2 linked regions of the Arabidopsis thaliana genome follow. The protein of the gene in region 2 purifies or fractionates together with the protein of the main gene of each other region. This does not show direct contact. Each region holds a gene or a part of one and is shown on either strand. Other genes may lie near its edges.

The links. The genes of interacting proteins can lie anywhere in the genome.
Region 1: the proteins of CNI1 (region 2) and SYP122 purify together in Arabidopsis thaliana (affinity purification with western blotting, with the first as the bait; one study listed by BioGRID). This does not show direct contact.

Annotation. Positions count from the first base shown.
Region 1 is NC_003074.8:19,423,599-19,431,164, reverse strand, and holds SYP122 (syntaxin of plants 122), read left to right. Parts: upstream 1-3,934; 5' UTR 3,935-4,132; coding exon 4,133-4,703; intron 4,704-4,875; coding exon 4,876-5,330; 3' UTR 5,331-5,533; downstream 5,534-7,566. Other genes in the region: OEP7 (outer envelope membrane protein 7), read right to left, coding at 1,196-1,390; AT3G52390 (TatD related DNase), read left to right, coding at 5,982-6,007, 6,129-6,154, 6,252-6,352, 6,440-6,497, 6,577-6,620, 6,724-6,804, 6,916-6,986, 7,070-7,180 and 2 more. UniProt on the Arabidopsis thaliana protein: Vesicle trafficking protein that functions in the secretory pathway.
Region 2 is NC_003076.8:9,679,550-9,687,168, forward strand, and holds CNI1 (carbon/nitrogen insensitive 1), read left to right. Parts: upstream 1-4,438; 5' UTR 4,439-4,569; coding exon 4,570-5,676; 3' UTR 5,677-6,193; downstream 6,194-7,619. Other genes in the region: AT5G27410 (D-aminoacid aminotransferase-like PLP-dependent enzymes superfamily protein), read left to right, coding at 29-121, 265-402, 494-552, 643-745, 829-1,017, 1,103-1,203, 1,273-1,327, 1,414-1,500 and 8 more. UniProt on the Arabidopsis thaliana protein: E3 ubiquitin-protein ligase that is required for the plant C/N response during seedling growth transition. May be involved in the early steps of the plant defense signaling pathway.

The DNA of each region.
Region 1 (7,566 bases), on a different chromosome or scaffold from region 2:
TCTTTCATGGAAATTGCAGAGAAATCAACCTACATTTGACTCAGACATTTTGAAGTTTTTTTGGCTAAGCTTTTAAAAGGAACCAATTACTTTCAGTTTCAGCTTAACATGATATAGTTATACAATTTGGCCCATATAAGTCCTACAAGTTAGACCCACCATGACTTGAGGAGATTTTTAAGTTGTGGTCTACCTCTACTAGAGAGATATAGATACTTGTTAATGAATTTGATAATTTACTGTTTGGAAAGGTTTATATCTAATTTAACAAAAAAACAAAGCATTGAAAGGTCCATGCCATTGTCATCTTTTAATCTCTGTTTGGGATCTTTGTGGAAAAACCTAGAGTACAAAATGGGGCAAATTATCAAAACAAAACAAAAAAGGTTTGAAGAAGAAATATCTGATGATTAGGACTTAAGCATGTATTAGAAAACTCTTGCCTTAACAAACTGATAATGATAAAAGAGATAATCTGAATCCTAAATGTCAATGAAACTATCCAACCGGACAATAATCATTGCAAAGCTACCATCTATAGTAATTTTCATGTAATTTTCTGGTTTTGATATTTTCCTGAATTGGAGTAAATATTCAAATTAAACAATGAACTTCTATAACCAAGTCTCTCCATTAGAGACTAGTAGTACATTTTCTTGGTGTTTTCTCATATGATGAAGTCAGTCGTCGTCCAAAGTTTTCTCAACTAAATGATGTTAAACAATCAATCTGACACATCTTTGTATCACCACATGTTATCGTCTCCCTATACTTATTTAGCTAATCTGCTTTATCTATAAAGCAATCTTGTAATTGTCAAGTTTGATATTTTGCTCTAACATGCTTCTTTTCAAGAGATACGTATAATCGAATCATAACTTAAAACAATTTAAGTACTTATCGGATTCCTAATCTCTTCTTCCACCTTAATAATACAGCTCGAAACTTTATACAAAATACGAAAAACGGTGTAACAAATCATGTATGAATATTGATTAGATTAATGATTCTGTTATGCGATTGAACTACAATAACAGATTCAATATAGCAGACTTTTCCAAAAATTGATGACAAATAAACGATCATGACTCAAAAGAAATTGCTCAAACTGTTATGATTAAGAACACATGGATTCATCAGTTACATGAAATGGATTGAAATCAGTAAATCTCTTTAATCTGATAAAACCCTAATTTTACAAACCCTCTTTGGATGTGGTTGCAGTAGCGGCGGTGTCGAAGTCATCGGGGTCTTTGGTTGGGTCAGATTTGTCGATTGAGGAGCGGAATTTATCGAGGAAAGGCTTGAAAGCGATCTCTATGGCTAACCATCCTAACGCCATCGCTGCGACCACCACAGTCGCCTGTTTCGCTCCCGAAGTTTTTCCCATCGCTGCGTCGTCGTCTTGTTCGCGTGTCGGTGGTATCAACCGATGGTTTAAGATCGGGAGATGGGTTTTACTAGGATGTTTAAAATGGGCCGGTTTGGGCTTCTCATTGGATAAAGATAGTTTGTTTGTTAAACTATGGCCCAACTTTTTATCCGTCTATTGGTTAATTAATACAAACTTTTTATATAATTGTAAATATAATTGAAAGGATCCCTATTTTATTTTCTTGGGAATATATATATGGAAAAAAACAATCAATAGAATTAGATAAATAGTTCAATATATCAACAATTTCTTTTTTGTTAGGATAAGGAACTTTTACCTTTTTTCTAATATAGTTACAAATTGTGTTTTTTTTTTTCTTAATTTATTATCAAATTTCTTTTTTACTTATATATAACCTCCTTTTTCATATAGAGTTATTAACTTTTTCATTTTCTCAGTAAATGTATTAACAAATTTAGACTTAATACATGAAGACATCTAATATTTTTATTGATATGTGTCGTGAACTCGTGACATGTTAGTTAGTAATTTTTATAAAAAAAATTTAGATAGGTTAAAATTATTTGATATGTGTAGGGGTGTCAATGGGTCAAAATTTATTGGTCAACTCAACTCAACCCATAAACCCTAATGAGTTGAAAATTTTGACTCAAATGAGTTGATGGGTCAAATGAGTTGATGAGTCAATTGGTTTGATGAGTAAAATGAGTTGGGTTGTAATGATTAATGGTTTCAATGGTTTACCCAATTAACCCATCAAGTTTTGTAAAATTGAATTAAACCAACTAAAATTTCTAAATCAATGTCAATTTAAGTCTAACCAACACATCTAAACCAATTTAATAAAATTAATATTTTTCCAAATTTCTTAAATATACATGCGATGAAATTGAGAAAAAGTAAACTCGTAAATTTTCCACCAAAAAACATAAACCCGTGATTTTCCCGCCAAAAACGTAAATCCGTGATTTTCTCGCCAAAAACGTAAACCCGTGATTTTTCCGCCAAAAACGTAAACCCCTGATTTTTCCGCCAAAAACGTAAACCAGAGATTTTCCCGCCAAAAACGTAAATCCATAATTTCCCGCCAAAAACGGAAACCCGTAATTTTTCCGCCAAAAACGTAAACCCATAATTTTTTTCCAAAAACGTAAACCCGTGATTTTCCCACCAAAAACGTAAACCCGTGATTTTCCCGCCAAAAACGTAAACCCGAGATTTTTCCGCCAAAAACATAAACCCGTGGTTTTCCCGCCAAAAACGTAAACTCGTAATTTTGACGCTAAAAACGTAAACTCGTAATTTTCTCGCCAAAAAACGTAAACTCGTAATTTTTCCACCAAAAACGTAAACCCGTGATTTTCCCACCAAAAACGTAAACCCGTGATTTTCCCACCAAAAACGTAAACCCGTGATTTTCCCACCAAAAACGTAAACCCAAGATTTTCCCATAAAAAACGTAAACCCATAAAAAGTAGAATCCGTAAATATCCTAAGTTTGATGATAATGAATTAATAATGATAATTATTTATTATTATTTTATAATAGTAATTAAGTAAATTATTAATTAAATGGGTTAACCCATTTAACAACTCAACCCATCAAATTAAATGAGTTATGAGTTGACCCAACCCATTTAACAAAATGAGTTGAGTTAACACATAACTCATTTAACTCTAAACTCATTTGATTATGAGTTGGGTTGAGTTGGGTTACCCATTTTGACACCTCTAAATATGTGTCTCTAGCCTCTACTATTTTTAAAAACTAAATTTTATATAATAAATTTTTTTATCTTAATAATAACCAAGTTGAACATATTTTAGTTCTAAAATTAACTACTCGGTTTAATATTAAACTTTAGACCAGGACATGCCGGATAACATGGTCTTAGTGTTGTCGTACGTCACCATTAGAGTTTCAATTTGCATAATACAAGGTGGTTGACCCAATAAAAGAAATTTGATTCAATTTCGATATAAACAGGTTTGTTTTGGTTCAGTTTTACCTATTACTTTTTATTTTGTCCAATCCCAAAACTATTATTTCAAAGACAAATTGGAGAAGAAACAAAAAAAAACTAATGGTTGGACAAAAGATTATTATATATCAATTTCACCACAAAAAACTTAGCATTAAAATATTCGAAATGGACAGCGACGAATTCAAACCTTCGTGTTAATTGTCTCCGGCGACTATGAATTCTAAAATCTTCCACTTTGCCTAAAATATCAATACATCACATTCATCCTAGCCTTATCCACTCTTTCTTGGAAATTCTGGTCTGGTTTCCCTTCAGCAATTCAATTAACTTCATCAAACCGACCGGTTCAAACAATCATCTAGAAATTCTATTTTATTGTTAGACTAGATCATGAAATTTTGACCGAGTCAGCACACATAAAATCTGGTACTTGACGTGGTTTAGTTAACCCAACAAAGTTGTTTTGGTTAAACGGATTTATTGACAAACGTGTTTCGGTTCACTCACTAAAAAACCCGGTTAGGTAGATACTACTTCATTGACAACAAACGAAGCATCCTTTAATTTCAAAACCGCGTTTTAATCAGACTTTTCCTTTTTTATTTTCAGTTCTAATGTTTAAAACTTTCCTTTTCTTTTTCTCCATATTTGACTCGTCAATATAAATACAATTGTAACAAACAGATTTTGATCAAAAGATTTTACTTTTCTCAATTCCTTTCAACTTTCAAAATCGAAGATCTCTTAAGCCATGAACGATCTTCTCTCCGGCTCGTTTAAAACCTCCGTCGCGGACGGTTCATCGCCGCCGCACTCACACAACATCGAGATGTCAAAAGCGAAAGTCTCCGGCGGAAGTTGCCACGGTGGTAACAACCTAGACACGTTCTTCCTCGACGTGGAGGTTGTAAACGAAGACCTTAAAGAGCTAGATCGTCTCTGTCACAACCTCCGATCGAGCAACGAACAGAGCAAGACGCTTCATAACGCTAACGCGGTGAAGGAGCTGAAGAAGAAGATGGACGCTGACGTCACTGCTGCGCTTAAGACGGCGAGGCGCTTGAAAGGAAACCTCGAGGCTTTAGATCGGGCTAATGAAGTCAACCGAAGTTTACCGGAAAGTGGACCGGGTTCGTCGTCGGACCGGCAAAGAACTTCGGTGGTTAACGGGTTGAGGAAGAAGCTGAAGGATGAGATGGAAAAATTTAGTCGAGTGAGAGAAACGATCACGAATGAGTACAAAGAGACGGTTGGGAGAATGTGCTTCACCGTCACCGGCGAATATCCCGACGAAGCTACCCTCGAGCGTCTCATCTCCACAGGTAATAATTTTTTCCAATTCTTTCTTAACAATTTTTTTGGTCAATTTCAAAATTCAAATTCTAAACGTTAAAGAGCAAGAAAATAGCGCAAGTTGTTAAACCTTTTTAAGAAATTGTTAGTTTATAATTTGGTTAAATCATGATATTGATATAAATTGGAATTATATTGTAGGTGAAAGTGAAACATTTTTGCAGAAAGCGATTCAAGAACAAGGTCGTGGTAGGATTTTGGACACTATTAACGAGATACAGGAGAGGCACGACGCAGTGAAAGATATTGAGAAGAGTTTGAATGAGTTGCACCAAGTGTTTCTTGATATGGCTGTGTTGGTTGAGCATCAGGGTGCACAGCTTGATGACATTGAAGGCAACGTCAAACGAGCTAACTCGCTTGTTCGGTCTGGTGCGGACCGGCTTGTTAAGGCACGGTTTTATCAGAAGAACACACGGAAGTGGACTTGCTTTGCCATTTTGCTATTGCTCATTATTGTGGTTTTAATTGTGGTGTTTACTGTTAAGCCTTGGGAGAGTAATGGTGGGGGAGGTGGAGGTGCACCTCGTCAAGCTACTCCGGTTCAAGCTCAGCCACCGCCACCTCCGGCTGTGAATCGGCGGCTACTACGCTAAATAATTTTTTTTTTGAGGTTCCCTCTGTCTATGCATGAGCATATCTATGTTTTGAAGATTGTTTTTTATTTTACAGTATTTTGTCTTTAATGTTTTTGTAATGTTTTGGTTGGTTAAACTCTGTGTATATATAATGCGATCACCACATTTCTTTGTTTTATTATGGAACGATTTGCTTATTTTTTACAATCGACTTAAGTTAATTTGACCGTCTATGATATTATTATTCGGAGAGATCTATCAAAATCGATGGTCAAAATGAATTTCCAGAGAATATGGAAATTAAAAAAATTGAAATATATATCAAATATTATCATACTTAAGTATAGATTATTTACAGTTATCTCTATAGTATTATTTACATTTATATTTATTTTAAATTATGAAACTTAGATTAATTTGTTCTCTATATAAATAATTTAGACAATTATTCTTATGGGAGTCTTTTTTTTTTTTTCACTGAAATGTTGCCTTTCATTGATACCAAATTCTTATGGGAGTCTAACAGTAATTATTCATAAATACTTTTATCTTCGTACTCCCATAATTTATCGAACCATATTGGGCCGTGGGAAAAGCCGATTAGTCATACAAAGCGTAAGAAAAAAAAAAGTTTCATTGTGTTGTGCCATTGTTTCACTTTCTCTCGCAATGGCGTCATTGAAGATGATAGGCAAGTCAAAATTAGGAATCACTCAAAATAAATTTCTTCGATTGATTCTCTTTTTTCTAATGTACAAGATTCTGTGTAACTCAACTGTTGTTTCTTTTGCTTTTCTTTTGATGTGTTTGTGTAAGATCAGACATAGCCGTTAACTTCACAGGTTAGTTGAGGCATTTCCACAAACACTTTGTGAACATGTCCTTCTCTGATCAATTTATTGCACAGACCATATTAATTCTTTAGTCTAATTGAAACAGATGGGATGTTCAAAGGACTTTACCATGGCAAGAACTGTCATGTTCCGGATATTGCCACTGTCTTGAACCGGGCTTGGTCTGCTGGAGTCGATAGAATCATAGTTGAGTCACTCCTTATTGATTCTTTTTGTTTGAATGATTACAAGTGATAGACTTTGAGTAATTCAGATTCCAATTTTCCTGAATAGGTAACTGGTGGGTCATTGGAAGAATCAAGAGAAGCTCTTGCAATTGCAGAGACTGATGGTTTGTTTGTTTTATAGATCTTTTTTTCAGAAAGTTTTTAGTCTTTTAGAAGTTTTTGATTGATGTACATTTTTTGCAGGTAGGCTGTTTTGCACTGTTGGTGTTCATCCAACTAGATGCAATGTCAGTTTTTTTGCTTTACATACTCGAGAGTTTCTTGAAATCTAAATTATAATCTTCTGTTTGGATTGTTCTTTAATGTTATGTTTTGTTGTTTATCCATTAGGAGTTTGAAGAGAGTGGTGATCCGGAGAAGCATTACCAGGCTCTTTTTTCATTAGCCAAAGAAGGAATGCAGAAAGGGAAGGTGCTATTTCTTCTGCTCTAGTAGATACTTTGAATTGCTTTAGTATCGCTTTCGTGTTGATCGTAATCAAAACCATTCACTGAACACTCTTGTACTTTATGATCGATTTAGGTGGTAGCAATTGGTGAATGTGGATTGGATTATGACAGGCTTCAATTTTGCTCAGTTGATATCCAGAAGAAGTAAGTTTGATCATAAAAAGTTTCATGTTTACATTGTTTTCTTCTATTTGAAATATCTTCCTATGTTTTCTTTGTTGAGAAAGGTATTTTGAGAAGCAATTTGAACTAGCATATGCTACAAAGTTGCCAATGTTCCTACACATGCGAGCAGCTGCTGAAGATTTCTGTGAAATTGTTGAGAGAAACAAGAATAGGTGAACATGCAGGCTAATGATTTTTCGAGTTGTGTTTAGATAAACTTCCTGGATTGATTTTTTAGTCATCTTAATCCCATGATTCACTTTCAGGTTCACTGGAGGAGTTGCTCATTCATTTACTGGTAGTGCGTCGGACCGCGATAAGCTTCTCTCTTTCGATAAAATGTACCTTGGTAAAGACTTCCACTTTTTTTCTATTAGAGACTATGCCTGTAGGCTTTAACTCGCCTAGGCGTTTGTAGGATCAGATTTGGTCAGAATATCTTGAATTACTGTTCTGGTCTTTTGTTTTGCTGATGTGTATTCTATCTGCAGGTGTGAACGGGTGCTCGTTGAAAACAGCTGAGAATCTTGAGGTAATGAAAGGAATACCAGTAGAGAGA
Region 2 (7,619 bases):
TTTGTGTTTCTGGCCTTTCTCTGCACAGCATATATCGAAACAGCGACTTCTTGGTTTGCCAAGTGAACTAATGAGTGAAGGGAAGCACTTTATATTGATACGCAATCCCCTCAACATATTGGTAAGCTTCTCAAACTCACTTCTGGTGTTATGTTTTCGTGGAGATTCTTCTGGGTTGGTTTTGTCTTGACGTTTATGGGTCTGATCCTTTCTGGTTTGAGATGTTTCCTCTCTTTGCTTTCGTTTCTTTGTCTTTTCTTGCAGCCTTCTTTTGAGAAGATACACCCTTCATCGTTTCACGAATTGGGACTGGGAGAGTTAGTATCGATATACAGTGATCTCTGTCAGATGGGAACACCACCAGCAATCATCGATGCAGATGAGCTCCAGCGAGATCCCGAGGTTTCATTGCTATATTATGAAATTTTCACAAGGAAACCATTTCTTTTATGTAAGAAGATTCTTATGTTCTGTGCCATTCTTCTATTTTCAGGCTACACTACGCAGTCTTTGTGATGACTTAGAGATCCCCTTTCAAGCCTCTATGCTTAAGTAGACCCTCTATGCTCTAGTGATCTCTTCGATTTGACAGTTAATGGCAAAAGCAATGACTGTATCTTTATTGTTTGCGTTCTCTTAAAGATGGGAGGCTGGTCCTATACCAGAAGATGGACTTTGGGCTCCATGGTGGTACGAGACTCTTCATAAATCAACAGGGTTCTCGTCGCCCCAGAAGTACCCTCAGGTACAAGACCTGTTTTCGCTGCAATTTAAGATCCTGAAACTCAGACATCATTCAAACTACAATGTGTTTTGTTTTGCTTTCAGACTTTCCCTTTAATGCATTACGATTTGCTGGAGCAATGTTTACCGCTGTACAACATTCTGAGGTGCCACATGAAGCACAAGTCATCGCTCTTGTCCAGCACCTTACCTCCTCCCAGTCTCCCAGTTCCTGAAAATGCTAAACTTCTTGCTTGGGTTGGTGATGAGATTGTGCCACGAGAGATGGCGAAGGTGCTTGAGCCATACATGGATCTCTGTTTGTTATTTCTTGTTTATGCTTATGTTCTGATGTTATTTGTCTTTATTCTTGCTTAAGGTTTCTGTTTTTGACTCGGTCGTGCAAGGCGGTGACTCTGTATGGGAAGGTCTTCGTATATACAAAGGGAAAGTATTTAAGCTTGAAGAACATCTAGACCGGTAAGAAGCAAGTAAGAGAAAGTACTTCTTCGAATCATTCTTAGTAATATGTTGAAGTGTTGCATATAGGTTGTCTGATTCCGCAAAGGCTCTGGCTTTCAACAATGTCCCAACCCGCGAGGAGGTAAGTATATGATGAAGATAAAAATCATTGTCATTGTTTGGAATATGGGACTTTTCAATGAAGCTATCACAACTGAAAATGCACAGATAAAAGAAGCCATCTTCAGAACTCTCATAACCAATGGGATGTTTGACAATACACATATAAGATTGTCTCTAACTCGAGGCAAAAAGGTATTAATCACACTTTGACCAACTTCAAAGTAAATTATATGCAAGAAGATGCTTCTTTCTGTTTCCATTTCAATCATTTTAAACCTAAACAGCTATCAATTTTGTTTCTTTTAAGGTCACATCTGGAATGAGCCCTGCATTTAACCGTTATGGATGTACTTTGATCGGTAAAGTTTCAGATTTTTCTCTTGCAAGCATACAACTAAACTCTGTGGAATATGGTTTTTTGAGTATTATCGTTTTTCAAAATATTGTGTAGTGCTTGCTGAATGGAAGCCTCCGGTATATGACAATGATGGCGGAATTGTGCTGGTGACTGCAACTACACGCCGGAATTCACCCAACGTATAAAATTGCTCTCATTGTCTTGCATTTATATTTATTTGAGAAACACATTTGCTCAGAAGTGTTTTTGTCCATTGTTGTTTAATCTTCTTCTAAACTTTCTTTCCAGAATTTAGATTCCAAGATTCATCACAACAACCTCCTCAATAATATACTTGCAAAGGTACCATCCTTTGCCTGTCATCGAGTTGAATCCGTGATCATGTGTTATTAGGGACGTCATTGTGAGATGTTTTTATTGGTAATGACACAGATTGAAAGCAACAATGCCAACGTCGATGATGCAATCATGCTTGACAAGGATGGGTTTGTGTCTGAAACCAATGCAACCAACATTGTAAGATCCTCGGATTGAACATTTTTTACTCTCAAAGAACCGTACTGAATCTCTGTGTAGCATTTGGAAACTAACATGGTGGAGGAACTCTGTTGGTGCAGTTCATGGTGAAGAAAGACCGAGTACTCACTCCTCACGCAGATTATTGTCTCCCCGGCATTACTCGAGCTACTGTAAGAGAGAAGAAGATTCATATTCTTTCTGATAACATATTTCAGGACTATAACATGACCAGTCTTATTTTCTAATCCATGTCCAGGTGATGGAACTGGTGGTGAAAGAGAACTTTATCTTAGAAGAACGTAGAATCAGCTTGTCGGAATTCCATACAGCTGATGAGGTTTCCTCATCTTTTCCTTAATCTTAGAATCTCAAATGATCACTAACTAAGTGTTATCAATCCATATCAAAACTTTCTAGGTATGGACTACAGGAACTATGGGAGAACTCAGCCCGGTACATACTCAATCTCTATTTTACAATCAAGGAATATGAAAATCTCAATGTTTTGAGTGAAGATTTCCTTCTTGTGAAACACTTTCTGGTTGGTTTTTGTGCCGCTTATTTATCGAGGTTATTGGTTTTAGGTTGTGAAAATTGATGGGCGTGTGATCGGTGAAGGAAAAGTAGGACCGGTAACAAGAAGACTTCAAAATGCTTACAAGAAACTGACGGATGGTTCAGGTGTCCCAATACCTACTTACCAAGAAGTCAAGAACCTTGAACCATGTGTTTGATCGTAGAACACGAATGGTAAACCAGGCTTGTTAAATGTGTTCATCTAGATTCGTAAACTCTAACAAGAACGTTGAACAAAAGGAACCTTATTTTGGAAAAATGAAATCAACGTTAACATAATTTCATCATTGGTTTTTTATTTTTGAAGTACTGAAAAGGTTTTGTGATTGCAGGAAAAAAACATTGCATACGAGGAAAACGGCACGTATTTCAGAGGAAAGCTGTGGTGTTTTACGTTTTTGAATAGAAAGTGCGTGCTGTTTTAGCTCTCAAACTCTCTCATATTATGCTGTTGACCTGTTGTAGCCTGTGGGTCAATGTAATCACAGTTGGTCGCAAATCCAAGTCAAGTCAGGCTCTCTTGTTTGACTTTTCAATTTTTTTTTCCACAATAACGATAATGCTGATCAATAAACAAAACCATAATATCATCAATTTTTGCTTTGAGTTCTAGTATATATAAAAAACTATAAAGTCCTTAGTTTGGGTTGAGAAGCATAAATTTAAACCTCCCACAATGAATTTTTTAAATATGCATTAAAGGAGTTTGAATCCTGATAACATAACAACAGTGTAAATACCAAATACTAGACTACTATATGCTTTGATCTAAAAACATAAGAAAATAACATTATTAGTAAGTAAAGACACTTGGTTTAAGTAGTAAACTCCCTAATGGATCTAGTTTTTCACTTTCCATGTCATTTTCAAATATTATATCGACTAAAATAGGTGATAACAAAAAAGTAACTTATAGAGAGAAAAAAAAATTAGTTCATGTTGGAGACATAACTTTTGCTAATTTAAATCAAAGATCAAATGAATTTGGTTTGCTTTTGGGACTATAGTGACCACACATATAATAAATAGTGTGATTCCACGAGATTTGTTATTGGTTAAAAGGTAAAATTGAAAAATTGCAGATCATTTTGTCTTTGTGCAGATTGCCAATTTTTATTCCCAACGGATTGGATTTGCCAATTCAAAGTCAACAGAAATTGTAATTAAAAAAAAAAAGAAGCATATTTGAGTTAGTGATCAGGATAGACCTATGATGGCTAAAGACTTTCTAGAAGAATATGAATATCAAAGTAGTCGTCTATAAATGATGACGGCTAAGACTAGTAAACATAAATTTGTTAATTTTTTCAAGTAATTTTTTCTTCGTGTGATCACATATCATTAACATGTTCCAAATTCATGGTCCTCTTATCTTGAATAAGATTTTAGTATGTATTGTAAACTAGCTCAAAACATTAACATTTCTGTAATAAACGAATGAATGAAACTTGCCGGTGAAATAGTAAATTATAAAAAAGAGATATGAAAATGACCATTTTAGATGAAATAAAAGATACTTTTCATACATACATATACAGAGTTTAGGACCATTTCAACAACTTCTTCGAAGTCATCGAACTATTTTGATTTGTATGACTTTTCACTTCCATCTCCAATTGGAAACTTCTGACCGTCCACGTGGCATTCAATAAGTAACACATTTGCTTATGACATATCCCCTAACTTCCTCGCTTCTTCTCCACGACTTTTTCAAACTTTTCAAAACCTCCCTATAAACTTCAGATCCTTATTCCTCACAATATTAAACCAAAAAAAAAAACTAACTTTTTGGGACTCCAGAACTAATAATGGATCCCATAAAACACATCTCTTTACCAGTTCTTGTCTTGTTTCTACTATTATCCGTGTCGGCGGGTCAACCCGGAACCCCGGACCAGAGACATGACCCGTATGCTTACAGCGGCAGTCTAAGTCCAGCCATGGCTGTTGTCGTTGTAGTTGTCATCGCAGCTCTCTTCTTCATGGGCTTCTTCACCGTCTATATACGTCACTGTACTGGCGCAGTAGACGGTAGCGTTACTCCTGCAGGAGGAGCTAGGAGGAGAGTGACGAACGCAACGGTTGCGCGTGGGTTAGACGCGGAGACGATCGAGACGTTTCCGACTTTTGTTTACTCAGAAGTGAAGACACAGAAGATTGGTAAAGGAGCGTTGGAGTGTGCGATTTGTTTGAATGAGTTTGAAGACGATGAAACGCTGCGTCTGTTGCCTAAATGTGATCACGTGTTTCATCCTCATTGTATCGGCGCGTGGCTTCAAGGTCACGTGACTTGTCCGGTTTGTCGGACTAATCTTGCTGAACAGACGCCTGAACCGGAAGTGGTGGTGGAAACCGATCTTGAGGCGCAGCAGCAATCGGCGGTTCCTGTACCGGTGGTGGAACTTCCACGTGTTAAATTCCCGAGGTCGCATACGACAGGGCATTCGGTGGTTTTACCGGGAGAGAGTACCGACCGGTTTACGCTTAGAGTACCGGAAGAATTAAGGAAGAAGATAATGGCGAATTGGAAATTGAACCGGTCGAATAGTGTTTTTGTTTTACCGAGAGGAGGAAGCTCGAGGAGTGGTAAACAGGTTGACCGGTCGAGGGCTAAATCGGACCGGTGGTTGTTCCGTAAAACTCCGTCGTTTCTATGGAGGAACCGGGATGATGGTTCGATTAGGCTAGGTGGTACCGGTAGTGTTAGAGGAAATTCAGTAACAAGTCCGAGCGGTGACTCGGTACGAGCAGACCGGTGGGCTTTTCTTAGAAACCCATCGTTTCTCTGGAGGAATACGACGCCGGTTCCTTCGCCGAGAGTTGAAGTCAATAATAAGGACGGTGAAGGAACATCGTCAGTTCAACATATCGGTACAGTTGGTTCAACTAGCGGTTCCCTTAGGCTACCGGTTTAGTGTTCGGTGATGTTTTGTGCATTGTTCATAAACACGCAATAGATTTTACGTAATTCTTTAATTTTGTTTGTCTTTTTCTGTAAGATATTTAAATCGACAATCCAACGGAAAAAGGAGATTGTTTTACTTAATTTATTTTATACTCTTCAAAAGTCAAACAAAGAACGAACTGGAGATTGGTCTTGTTCTTAAAAAAAAAAAAAGTCTTGTTCGTCGACCAAAGAATACATGGAACTGGAAGATAGAGACTACAACATTATTTTATAGCGGTAATGGAATGTATTATCTAGTTCTGAATTCATGTGTTTATTTCTCGATGAATACGATGAACGACTAAAAAAAGAGAGGAACTATATAACAAACAAATTTGTTACCAATTAATGATTGTTTTTTTTTTGGGGAAATACAACGTTTTTTTTTTCTCAAGTAGTATTGTTGTCGGACCAAAACAAAAATTTGTACTAATATATGAATCAAGTAGATAAGAACAATGTATCAAATTAAAATTTCAGATAACAGTTTCCACAGTTAATCATTTGAGCGTCAAAAAAAGTAATATCATTTGAACATTGAAGCACGAGGTACTTTACTTTCAGAGCTGAGACTAAAGATAGTTCGAGAAGATCTTATTTTAATACTTGGAAGTTGGAAATACGGAAATGAAATCATATACATTAAAATATAAAACATAGTTACTTCATCAGATAGACCACGACTAAGTCGTTTCGATACGGATTGGAAGATTACTTGTTCAACAATTTGAATAGTTACGTAGAAAGTTGCCATCATTCAAATTTTATTCTAGAAACATAAAAATGTAAAAATTACCAAACACACAATATAGCCGTTGTTGTCTACAATATGATGATGGTACCATTGTTTATTTGTTTTTATATAACTGCATACGAGATGTTGGAAAATGTTTACATATATTTTAGTTAGTTAGTTTAAATAATAATAAAATAATTTGTACTTTTTATTTAATTTACTCTATTTTTTAATAATTTTATGTTTTTTGTTTATTTTATGTGACATTCGATCTACGTCCGTAATCAGATTGAGAATACAAGAACGTCTCATACCTCAGAAAAAATTTATAGTTCTGCATTTTGCTTTTTTTTTGCGAGAGTCGGCGGCATCTCTGTCACACTGAACAGTAAAGAGAAAAATATATTTAGGATTTATTTTAATCGTGTATTTATACTGTGTTTTTTGGGCTGGGTCTTAAACAAATCTGCCCAAAAAATATATATATATATATATTTTATTTTATCTCTTGTGAAAATATGTAAACAATTTATTCTTTTTGTGCTGAATGATTAATAAGTGAATGCAAGGTTCCAAGTTTAAGAAAATATATACTCGATTTGATCCGACGAAATCATATGGAATTGCGAGCAATACATTTATCAAGGTTTTAAAAATTGAGATTTCAAAATAACGCTTTTGTTATTATAACGACAAACAAAATAAACCATATTTCTTATAGAAAAAAAATAGTTCGTTCTAAATTTGTACATGACTCAATATCTTATTTTTTAAATCCCATATAGTATCAAAAAGTATTAAATTATTAATGCACACAAAGTCACAATCAATGATTTATATTAAATAAAATTGCATTGACTAACTATTTGGAATAAATCATGGATTATGTATACTGTATAGTATATAATTCGTATGCACACAATCCATGATTTATGTTTTAAAAGACATATGAACACAATCCATATCTCTGTGTACAATCTAACTTTTCGAAATAAATCTAAACAAAAATTGAATAGTTTATAATTTCAAAGTTTGCAATTCAAATCCAACATAAAATAATATTAATCAAAATAATTAAGTAGAAACAATTTTGATTGGTTTTATGCTTAGTTTTACTAACTTTGCCATTACGACCAACAATTTTTCACTAACAATCGGTTTGGTGACAGAACCGA